3 linked regions of the Sus scrofa genome follow. The protein of the gene in region 2 binds, or shares a complex with, the protein of the main gene of each other region. Links are inferred from orthologs where the notes say so. Each region holds a gene or a part of one and is shown on either strand. Other genes may lie near its edges.

Evidence for each region.
Region 1: SF3B2 (region 2) and CRIPT share a complex: the UniProt entries of both Homo sapiens proteins name them as parts of the minor spliceosome. The link is inferred for Sus scrofa from reciprocal best matches to the Homo sapiens genes SF3B2 and CRIPT.
Region 3: SF3B2 (region 2) and SF3B4 share a complex: the UniProt entries of both Homo sapiens proteins name them as parts of the SF3B subcomplex of the 17S U2 SnRNP complex. The link is inferred for Sus scrofa from reciprocal best matches to the Homo sapiens genes SF3B2 and SF3B4.

The regions. Positions count from the first base shown.
Region 1 is NC_010445.4:93,923,670-93,927,420, forward strand, and holds the start of CRIPT (cysteine-rich PDZ-binding protein), read right to left. Parts: upstream 2,248-3,751; 5' UTR 2,114-2,247; coding exon 2,098-2,113; intron 174-2,097; coding exon 108-173; intron 1-107. UniProt on the Homo sapiens protein: As a component of the minor spliceosome, involved in the splicing of U12-type introns in pre-mRNAs. Involved in the cytoskeletal anchoring of DLG4 in excitatory synapses.
Region 2 is NC_010444.4:6,283,516-6,287,166, reverse strand, and holds part of SF3B2 (splicing factor 3B subunit 2), read left to right. Parts: intron 1-928; coding exon 929-1,078; intron 1,079-1,748; coding exon 1,749-1,838; intron 1,839-1,947; coding exon 1,948-2,055; intron 2,056-3,651. UniProt on the Homo sapiens protein: Component of the 17S U2 SnRNP complex of the spliceosome, a large ribonucleoprotein complex that removes introns from transcribed pre-mRNAs.
Region 3 is NC_010446.5:99,126,513-99,129,818, reverse strand, and holds the end of SF3B4 (splicing factor 3B subunit 4), read right to left. Parts: intron 1,398-3,306; coding exon 1,224-1,397; intron 1,008-1,223; coding exon 820-1,007; 3' UTR 601-819; downstream 1-600. UniProt on the Homo sapiens protein: Component of the 17S U2 SnRNP complex of the spliceosome, a large ribonucleoprotein complex that removes introns from transcribed pre-mRNAs.

The sequences.
Region 1 (3,751 bases), on a different chromosome or scaffold from region 2:
ATGAAATATGCTGTATGCTTAACAACATTTTACAAATAATGTAAAAGCTAAAACATTATTCACAGGAAGTATCTGATTTAATTTCTATGTTCTAAAAGGAAAAATACCTGTGGTATTCCTTGCACCATCTTTCCATGTATCTGGAGTGATAACAGTACCAAGTTTCTTTTCACCTGTTATAACAAGATAACAAAAGTGGGGGGGGGTTAGCATTACTATCTAATAAATACACTACATTGTGCCTTAAGTTTACAATGGTATTAATATTCATATTACATACAAATCTGTTATTGCTGAGGCTTGGGGCCAGTGAACTGAGACTTATGATACTAATTGTGGGCCATGGATAACTGACTCTCAGTCAAATCTGTGGATAATAGTATGGCCTATAATAGGCTTGTTTCTGTACATTAATGCTTTAAACAAATCTGATAAATCTGTTCATTTACTAAATATCAGTGATATATAAACCATTGTACAAAGTACAGAGAAAAATAAAATGAATTAGATAAGGCTCTAGATTTCAAGGAGTTTACATCATACTGATTTATCTCTAACAACAGTTCTTAACCTGAGTTTTCACATGTGGACCTTAGGAAATACATGAACAAGATGAAACTGAACACAAACCTCTGTATATCCATTTTTTTTTTAATAGACTCTGTTAAGTCCACAGCTTTTGTCACATTCTCAAAGGGCTCCGAGAACAACAACAAAAGTTTAGCATTATTCAACTGAAAGTAAACAGTATGTTAAGAGCTGAAGTACTAAGATACATTCCATGGAGGAAGAAATAACCTTGACTAGGGAAATCCAGGAAAGCTTTGTGAAGAAGGCAGTAGAGAGGGTTTGTGGTAATGAGACCATGAAGAAAAAGGAGAAAGGAGGATGAAGGTAAACTGGATAAAGGACACATCCTGATAAAAGGCGTGGAGAACTCGAGGTACATGCAGTCAGGCAAAATAGTTTGGCTTGGCTGAACTGTAAAGATGGTAAGGGTTAGTGAAAATAAAGTTAAAAAGGTAAGATGTGGCCTCATTGTAGAGGGTCATCCTGAATGCCAGTCTCCAGATACAGAAATCCCAAATTATTCTCTGCACCTTGAGAATGTATTAAAGTAACTGTCATGGTCATTCTTTCACCTAATCTGAAAACTGTGATTCAAATTCTGTGTTCAAAGCTATAAGGCTTTATATACTGTGGGGGGGGGGTAAACGAAATGGATCAAGTTAATTAGATGATAATCAAACTGACGATAATCAAATTAAGAGGACATGTTTAGACTCAGGAAAACGGGAATAAGACTGCTCTTTTTAAATACACAACCAGTTTGTGGGAGCAAAAATATCAAATCTCAGAGGGTGGTATTAGAATTACTGGACGGCAACTAGAAGAAGGAAAGACCTTTCTAAAAGCCAGTAAAATCAACACGGACTGCTTCCAAGGTGGTGAGATTCTCCTACACACCGGCCACCATTCCTCAATACTCTGGGTATTCGTTCAAGGACCATTTAAGCACTCACAGCATGTGGAAGTTCCTGGGCCAGGTATGGAACCCTGCGCCAAAAGTTAGATTTAAATTTCAAATAAACAATGAATACTTTTTCAGTAGACAATGTCCTAAAAGTAAGTGCCTTGCTTTACAGCAGTAAGGAGCAGCAAACAGAGCCAAATCTCAAATATTGCATAGGACGCACACTAAAAATTATTCTTGGTTTACCTGAAATTCAAATTTAACTGGGCGTCCAGTACTTTTATTTGCTAAACCTAGCAACTCCAGTTGCTGTGGAAGCGACTTTTAAGATCCATTTCAACCTGAAGCTCTGAAATGAGGGAGCCAGTCAAGAAGCTCAGGGGTTGAACGAAAACAATGGAAACAGACAAGGAGGTGCAAAACAGACAAGGAGACCACCCTGAATGCAACAAACGGAGGACTATACGGTCGATGGAGAGGCAGGAATGGTCAAAGGGCAGGACAGAACAGAGGCTAGAATCAGAGACTTGTGGCCAAAGTAAAAACAAAGGAATAAAGTCCCGGGGAACTCCAGTTAGGTTGTCCCAGCCTTCTTCTCCCGCAGAAGAGTTTCCTTAACTCACATTTTTCGCACACCATCCTTTCGCGACGATTCCCTCAGTCGCAGTAGGATCGGGAGCTGGAAACCATCAACACCACAGCTGAGAAAACACTCCCCTTCCGGGTTATGAAAGTCCACTTCCGGATCCTCCGCCCCGCCTATTCTACACCTGGAAAGCCGCGGGAGGAATAAAGGAGAGCGGGAAGGCGGGGCTTCCTTCTTGGCCCACCTCTCCACTTCTGCGATTGGTTGTGAGGCCTTCGGTCTCCGCCCTGCTGGCCTGCGCCTGCGCGAGACTCAGGGCGGCGAGTTGCACCTGATGGTGGGAGGTAGTAGCCCTCCCGTTCTCTTCCGCGAGCGGGAGAGTTAGGTAAGCCCAGCCGGACGCTCCCGGCGCACGAGCCTCCAGCGGCTGCAAGCCACCCCCGCCAATTGCCCAACTGATCGGAAATCTCTGCTACCAATAGGCCCTTGCCCGCGGGCCCCTCGAGCGCCGCCCTTCCGGCGTGACCCAGGGGCTGCCCCGATGAACTGGCTCTTTTTCAGTTCCGACTTTCTGTGTTTGTCCCGCCGTTTCTCTTGGTCTTTACGCCTGTGCTCTTTGATTATGCTTCTCAGCTTGTCCCTTTCTGCCCACAGTCGGCTGGGGCTTGGGCAGAGTCCGCAGCGACCCAGTTTGGGATGGGGCTGGAGATTACGGTCCCACGATTCCCGCGAAGGCGCCTCCAGGAGCCTTTCAGAATGGCCCTCTCTTCCGCTGCAAGGCTTGAGGATCTGGGCCAGGTCAGACCACGGGCACCTGGGCAATAGCTGCCCCAGGGGGCACCTGGCGGAAGTCCTCCTGAGCTCTCCAAGGCCTAATATAAGGCTGGTTTCTCAGGAAGGGCAACTCTGCACCTACTCTTCGTTCATTCACTCATTCACGCAGCATTAAGTTTGTGTATTGCTCACTGTCTTATGTACAAATCTGCTCCTGTCAATTGGGATTTTGAGGGTGGCCCAGAAGAAGATAGGACCGGTGAGAAAGATTTCCTTTCTCCTTTCTTGCCATTCATACCTCCTAGTATATATCTATATCATCAAAAAGGTTAGCTAGGGTTTGAAATGGCTTTAGCACTTGGGACCTTGGTAGCTTGCAATGTTTACTAATCTCTGCTAGTCTTTTTCCTTATCAGTAATGTATTTTCTTTTGAAAAATATAGTGTGAATAAATGAGAGTGTTAGGATAAGGCCTGGATTTGCCCTTTTACCCTTTTATATATACGCACACGTACACATATATGTGTGTGTATATATATGGGGTTTTATTCTGGACTAGTCACCACAGTGTGACACGTGGACTCCTTACTTAACATTAGTCAATACTACATATAAGCTCTCTGTTAGATAATTTGTAAATACATGCATACATAAAATAGATATATAGAGATGGGAGAGAGAGAAAGTAAAATTTTTTTTCCCTTTTCATGAAGCTCTTCTTTTCATTGGAATCTAGCGTCTGACATTGCCATTTTGGTATTTTGGGGCGCTGAGATCCCTTAGTTTAGCATGATGTTTTTTGAACGCTCTTGATGACATTGACCACCATTTGTGTATTTCAGTGTGCACCTGCTGTTTCTTGGTATTTGCTAGAAAATGTGAACAACTGTGTTGATAGACAATGGAACACAGTGATT
Region 2 (3,651 bases):
CCTGGCGGGGCGGGCAGGAGGGGCAGGGCATCACGTGAAAGGCAGACCTCACCTCTGTTGAGGCCGGTGCTCCCCACTTCCGGTTCTGTGTGGCTCTCTTTTCGCCCCGGGCTCCTCGCGTCCATGCCTGCCCTTCCCGGCTCTCTGATCTAGAGGCACGTGGTGATTCCTTTCCTTGCACGTTGCTTCTCGCTGTGTCTGGTTCTCTGCTTATTATATGAACTGGATACACTTGTGGCTGGAATTGTATGCTGGTTGAGTAATTTCTTAAGTTTAAGTTTTTTTTTTTTTTGTCTTTTTGCCTTTTCTAGGGCCACTCCCGTGGCATATGGAGGTTCCCAGGCTAGGGGTCTAACTGGAGCTGTAGCCCCTGGCCTACGCCAGAGCCACAGCAGTGCGGGATCTGAGCCGCGTCTGCAACCTACAGCTCATGGCAACACTGGAGGATCCTTAACCCACTGAGCAAGGGCAGGGATGGAACCCACAACCTCATGGTTCCTAGTTGGATTCGTTAACCATTGTGCCACAATGGGAACTCCAAGTTTAAAGTTTTTAATTAAATACTCTGAATAGGTGATAGTTGTGGGTGGTGTACAAATGCAGCAAGTGCCGAAGTAGGTGGTGAGAACTGTGCCTTGTCAGGCCCTAGTCACCCAGGTCTCTGCAGAGGGAGCTGAGGAGTCAGTCCCTTGATCCCATGGCTTAAAAATTATTTGATGTACGTAGCTGATTGTGATTTCTTATGATGCATCTATTTTGTTCTGCACGGGTCGTGTAACTTTGAGGGGCTGGACTGAGCAGGAAGCATTTGGGTGACTTGGGAGTTAAGACGGATGAGGTTTCCCCCATCTCTTTTGGGAGCGGGAGGCCAGATCTGGCCAGAGTTGGACTTTGAGGGCCTTTCCCGTACCCCGTGCCATCCCCGCAGGAGGAGCAGAAGACCATGAAGTCCAAGATGCGAGAGAAGGTCCGGCCCAAGATGGGCAAGATCGACATCGACTACCAGAAGCTGCACGACGCCTTCTTCAAGTGGCAGACCAAGCCCAAGCTGACCATCCACGGGGACCTGTACTACGAGGTCGGCAGCGGGGGCGGGGAGGGCGGGGGCAGGGCTCTGCCTTGGGTCACCACCCCGGAACGCCGGGTCCCAGGGGCTTTGGAAGCTGGAGGTGGGGCCGGTGGCCCTCTCGCCTCAGGCTCTGGGTTGTCCACTAGCTGCCCTTGGATGGGGTGGCATTTGCAGCGAGGGGTGCTTTTCTGGAGGAGGGATGCGGATCGCATCTTCGAGGCAGCAGTCGTGTATGTGGGTAGTTTAGAAACAGGGGCCGAGGGCAGATGCTTTAGGAAACATTCCCTCTTGGGGGCAGGAGAAAATTGTCTTGTTTTGGTTTTTTTGTTCTGGCCCTTGAGATGTTAGTCAGCGCGGTGTCGTGGGATTTTTGAGGCCGAAGGCCCTTGGAGACGGTCTTCTCCAAGCCCCCACCCGGGAGATGAGAAAGCCTGTCCTTAGAAGTGGCTGTGCGCTCACAGCGGGAGTGCCTGCCCCCTCCACTTCCTGGCTTTTATCATCATTCCCCACCCCCGGCGCGGCCGGGGGCAGAGGTGACGAGAACCCTGGGAACTAGGTAGTCCTCCGAGGGACTCTGTCTGCTGTGGTTTGGGACCTCTTTGTTCTCCCGCCCCCTGGCAGGTAACCTCCCAGTGTGTGTCTGGAGCCCACAGCACGGCATGCTCTGCTTTTTCCTCAGGGGAAGGAGTTTGAGACACGGCTGAAGGAGAAGAAGCCAGGCGATTTGTCTGATGAGCTGCGGATTTCCTTGGGGATGCCAGTAGGACCAGTGAGTGCCAGTTACCTGGCTGGGCAAACAGAGAAGAGGTTGGGCATGGGGCGGGGGAGCCAAGGGCTCGGGTCGGGCAGGTGGGAGCCCGTCCTCTCTCGTCCTGCAGAACGCACACAAGGTCCCTCCCCCGTGGCTGATCGCCATGCAGCGCTACGGGCCGCCCCCGTCGTACCCCAACCTGAAGATCCCGGGGCTGAACTCGCCCATCCCCGAGGTGAGAGCTTTCCTTTCTGTCCTTCTTCTAAGGGAGGAGCTGGCTCTTTAACTAGAGGAGGATTTTTTTTCTTTTCTTCTACTGTGTGTCTTTTGGCTTTTTTTCAAATTAAAGGAGTATGGTTTTTGTTTTAAGAAAACCACGAGACGTGTGTCATAAAATGGTCAGTCAGAATTGAGAACAAAGATGAAAACACATATTGCTCACATTTCACCACTCAGAAATAACCAGGTTTAATATCTGGTGAATGTATTTCCAGATATCTCTCTCTGATGTGTACATGGATGGACAGATAGAATTTTAAGAGTGGCATTAAACTTATTTTTTTTAATTTCTTTTCTTCAGAAATCTCTATATTGAGGTAATACCATTGGAGAAATAGTCAAAACTTAAAAAACCTTTAGAGAATGAACTTCATGCTGTTTTCTTTCTTTTTTTCATTAAAAATAGTAATCTATTTTGTTGCAAATTATTTTTATTTTTTACCTTTTTTTCTTTTTTTATGGCTGCACCCATGGCATATGGAAGTTCTGGGGCCAGAGATTGAATCTGAGCCGCAGCTGTGCCCTACTCCACAGCTGCAGAAAAACTGGATCTGGAGTTCCCGTCATGGCTCAGTGGTTAACAAATCCGACTAGGAACCATGAGGTTGCGGGTTCAGTCCCTGCCCTTGCTCAGTGGGTTGGGGATCTGGCGTTGCCGTGAGCTGTGGTGTAGGTCAAAGACGCGGCTTGGATCCCGCATTGCTGTGGCTCTGGTGTAGGCTGGCAGCTACAGCTCCGATTCGACCCCTAGCCTGGGAACCTCCATGTGCCGCGGGAGTGGCCCAAAGAAATAGCAAAAAGAAAAAAAAAAGAAAGAAAAACTGGATCTTTTAACCCGCTGTGCCAGGGTGGGAATCAAACCCTAGCCTCTATAGTGACCTGAGCAGTTGCAGCCAGATTCTTACCCCATTGCACCACAGCAGGAACTGCTAAGTTTGTTTTTAAATAAAAAGCAATAAAAAATTTCACAGACAACAGTCATTAAAATGGGAAAGAAGTGATTGTTAAATTTCAGATAAAAATTTCTGTTACTTTGAGTTCCTGTTGTGGCTCAATGGTAATGAACCCGACCAATAGCCATGAAGACCTGGGTTTGATCCCTGGCTTCACTCAAGTGGGTTAAGGATCTGGTGTTGCCACCAGCTACGGTGTAGGTCACAGACATGGCTCGGATCTGGCGTTGCTGTGGCTGTGGCATAGGCCGGCAGCTGCAGCTCAGATTCGATCCCTAGCCTGGGAACTTCCACATGGCACAAGCCCTTAAAAAAAAAATTCTGTCACTTTAGAGAACTAGATTCTGAAAGCTTGCCAACATTAGGAACATCAGTAAGAAGTTGGAGTCGTGTCTTGCAAAGTACATGTTTCAGTTTTAGGCAGCATGAACTCCACCCTGAAGGCTGAAGTTACTAGCAGGCTTTCTGCTTCCCATCTCCGTATCCTGTTACCTCCAGATTTTTGTCGCTTAGCACTCTTGCTTTGTAATGCTCTGTGACGTTTGCTTCTTCTCTGAAATGAAGCTGGAGTTCCCAAGTGTTAGTTCTGTGCTTTGGAG
Region 3 (3,306 bases), on a different chromosome or scaffold from region 2:
GCTGCAATGAATAGCTTTGTGCATGTTACTTCATATTTTTGCCAGCATTACCTCAGGAACTTTAATTCTGTTCTCACTTAATAGTCACAATAATCACAATAATCCTTTATCACAGATATTGGGTCTTCATCTTATGGGTAAGTTTAATGTAAAGAAATAACTGCTGTAGTACACAGCAGTCCAGCAACCACCACAGCACATTACAGAATAAGTCTGTATTTATTTACTTATTTAATTTTATTTTTACAGCTATACCTGCGGCATGCTTAAGTTCCCAGGCCAGGGGTCGAATTAGAGCTGCAGCTGGGGTTTATGTCACAGCCATGACACCACCAGATCTGAGCCACCTCTGCGACCTTCGCCACAGCTTAGTAATGCTGGATCCTTAACCCACTGAGTGAGGCCAAGAATAGACCCCACACCCTCACAGAGACAATGTCAGATCCTTAACCTGCTGAGCCACAATGGGAACTCCCAGAATAAGCCTTTAAACCATGGAGTAAACACCCTTATTCTGACCTTACCAGTCTTTCCCTATTAGACTGACACCTCTTATTAGAGAAAAAGAAGTTGTTTTGCCAAGGAAAACACCACAAAGAATAAACAAGGAGTTAAGTTTTATTTTCTCTGTGCATTTGCAAAGCACTTCGGACCAACATAGAGGGGGAAAAAAAACCTCCTGTGGAAAAAAAATTACACTTACAAAAAAGGCCTGAGAGGGATTAGTGCCCTAGCCCCTGCGAGCTACAGCAACTCTGATTGGTCCAAGGAAGTGAAAAGATATTGGGAGGACATAACAGGAGCAAAGACAGTGAGAAATCACTGAGGAAGAGGGCCTCGAAGTGGGCCTCGAGGGGGAACTGGAGGCCGGGGAGTGGGTCTGGGTGGAGGGAGGGGTCCTCGCTGGTAGCCATATGGTGGAGGTCGTGGAGGGCCAGTGTATCCATGAGGGGGCATCAGTGGGGGAGGTCCGCGCATACCATGTGGTGGCATAGGACCAGGGTGACCTGCAGGAAAAGAACGAACTTAGTAAAAACAATTAGGAGATAATTGGGACAAATAGGACAAAACATTGGGACAGTGAAGGAAGAGGAGAGACAAGCAAACAGTGAAAAGAAATACAAGAATGAAAAGAAAGAACACACAGGGGATAAGAGGTGTGACTAAAGAAGCTGCAAGAATATGACACATGAGGACAAGAGAGGTGGCCAGAACCTACTCACCCATGGGCGATCCAAATGGAGGCCCTCGAGGGGGCATGCCCATTGGAGGAGGTCCAGGATGAGGCATTCCAGGTGGTGGTCGAGGTGGTGGCTGCCCTCCAGAGCCAGGGGGCCCAGCATGGGGGTGTCCTAAGCCATGAGGGCCATGGTGGGCCAGCTGCATCTGAGACATCCCTATGAGAACAAAACAGACACAAACACAAAGGAGACAAAAGAAAATCAGACAAGGGGGCAAAGAAAATGAGAAAGAAAAGAGTAAGGAAAATAAGGCTGGTAAAAAGTGCCCTTATCCTTGACTCCAAGCAAGAGAACCAACCAACCTATGATCCAATCAATTCCCAACCACCCAGCTGGCTCCTTCCATGATTTAGGCACTGTACAAGTGCTGCAGAAGTATGTAACAAATGGAACGATTATGCTATTGAATAGGATTTGAGAAGGTAACAGAGATACTGCCTGAACCAAGATCCAATTCTGAAGGATAAAGAGGAATTTTTCAGGGGGACAACAAGTGGGAACAGAACATTCTAGGCAAAATGATTAGCACGTGCAAAGCACAAGTACGTCCAAAAGCACAGTATGTTATAGGAAAACCAGTAAGTCGGTAATCAGGAGAATGCAGTTGTGGGAACAATGAGGAGCCAGATCATGACAAACCTAGAACTGCTATGCTAACAAGTTTGGCCTTTACTCGATAGGTAAAAGGGAGCAAAAGAATTTTGAGCAAGGGTGTGTGAACATCTATATTTTAGAAAAATTACTCACTGAAAGTCGATCGAAGGTAGAGATAATTAGAGTCAAAGTGTCAGAAAATTACTACAATAAATTAGGTGTGGAATAATGAGGATATGAGAGCCTGAACTAGGGCACTGACAATGAGGGCTGATGGCAGAGGTATTAATAAGACTTGGTATTAAGAGTGGGGTGGAGTTCCTGTCATGGTGCGTAAGGTTGTGCGTTCGATCCTTGGCCTTGCTCAGTGGGTTAAGGATCCGGTGATGCCATGAGCTGTGGTGTAGGTCACAGATGCGGCTCAGATCTGGTGTTGGTGCAGCTGTGGCGTACGTAGGCTGGCAGCTACAACTCCAATTAGACCCCTAGCCTGGGAACTTCCATATGCCGCAGGTGCGGCCCTAAAAAGACAAAAGACAGAAAAAAAAAAGAGTGGGGTAACAGGGAAGAGTCAAACATAGCTCCCAGATTTCTGAATCAAGCACCTGAAAACTAAGACTACTAGAGAAAGAATAAGGTTGAAGGGCAGGGGTATAAAAGTAGTCATCCAGTAGTTCCCGTCGTGGCGCAGTGGTTAACGAATCCGACTAGGAACCATGAGGTTGCGGGTTCAGTCCCTGCCCTTGCTCAGTGGGTTAACGATCCGGCATTGCCGTGAGCTGTGGTGTAGGTTGCAGGCGCGGCTCGGATCCCGTGTTGCTGTGGCTCTGGCGTAGGCCGGTGGCTATAGCTCCGATTCAACCCCTAGCCTGGGAACCTCCATATGCCGCGGGAGCGGCCCAAGAAGTAGCAACAAAAACAACAACAACAACAACAACAAAAAGACAAAAGACAAAAAAAAAAAAAAAAAGTAGTCATCCATTAAACAGTAAGATTAAGGGTATGGAATGTTAATACCCATGGAACAGCCACCCATCTAGGTGGCATCAGTGTACAAACAATGGGACTGTGCAAAAAAGAGAGCCAGACACAAAAACCTCAGCTGAGAAAAAGGAGCCTATTAAGGTGGCTGAGATTGAGGATTCAGAGAGAAAGAGAATCCATAAAAACCAAAAAAGACAAGATTTTCAAACAGGAGGACACGGCCAGTTTCAAGAATAGCAAAGATCAAACAAGATAAGGAGCAGCCTAGACTTGGCATGTAGGTGACTGCTTTGGGGTGGAAGTCAGAGGAAAGAATGGAAGTAAAGGTTAAGAAAACAAAACCCAGCAAGTATAGTTATACTCTTCGGTAAAACTTTAAGAAATGAAAACAGGCTGATAGTTGTTAAAGTAAACAGGCTAAAGTATTTTGTGTTTGTTTCTATAAAAGAATGTCTGGGAGTTCCCGTCGTGGCGCAGTGGTTAACGA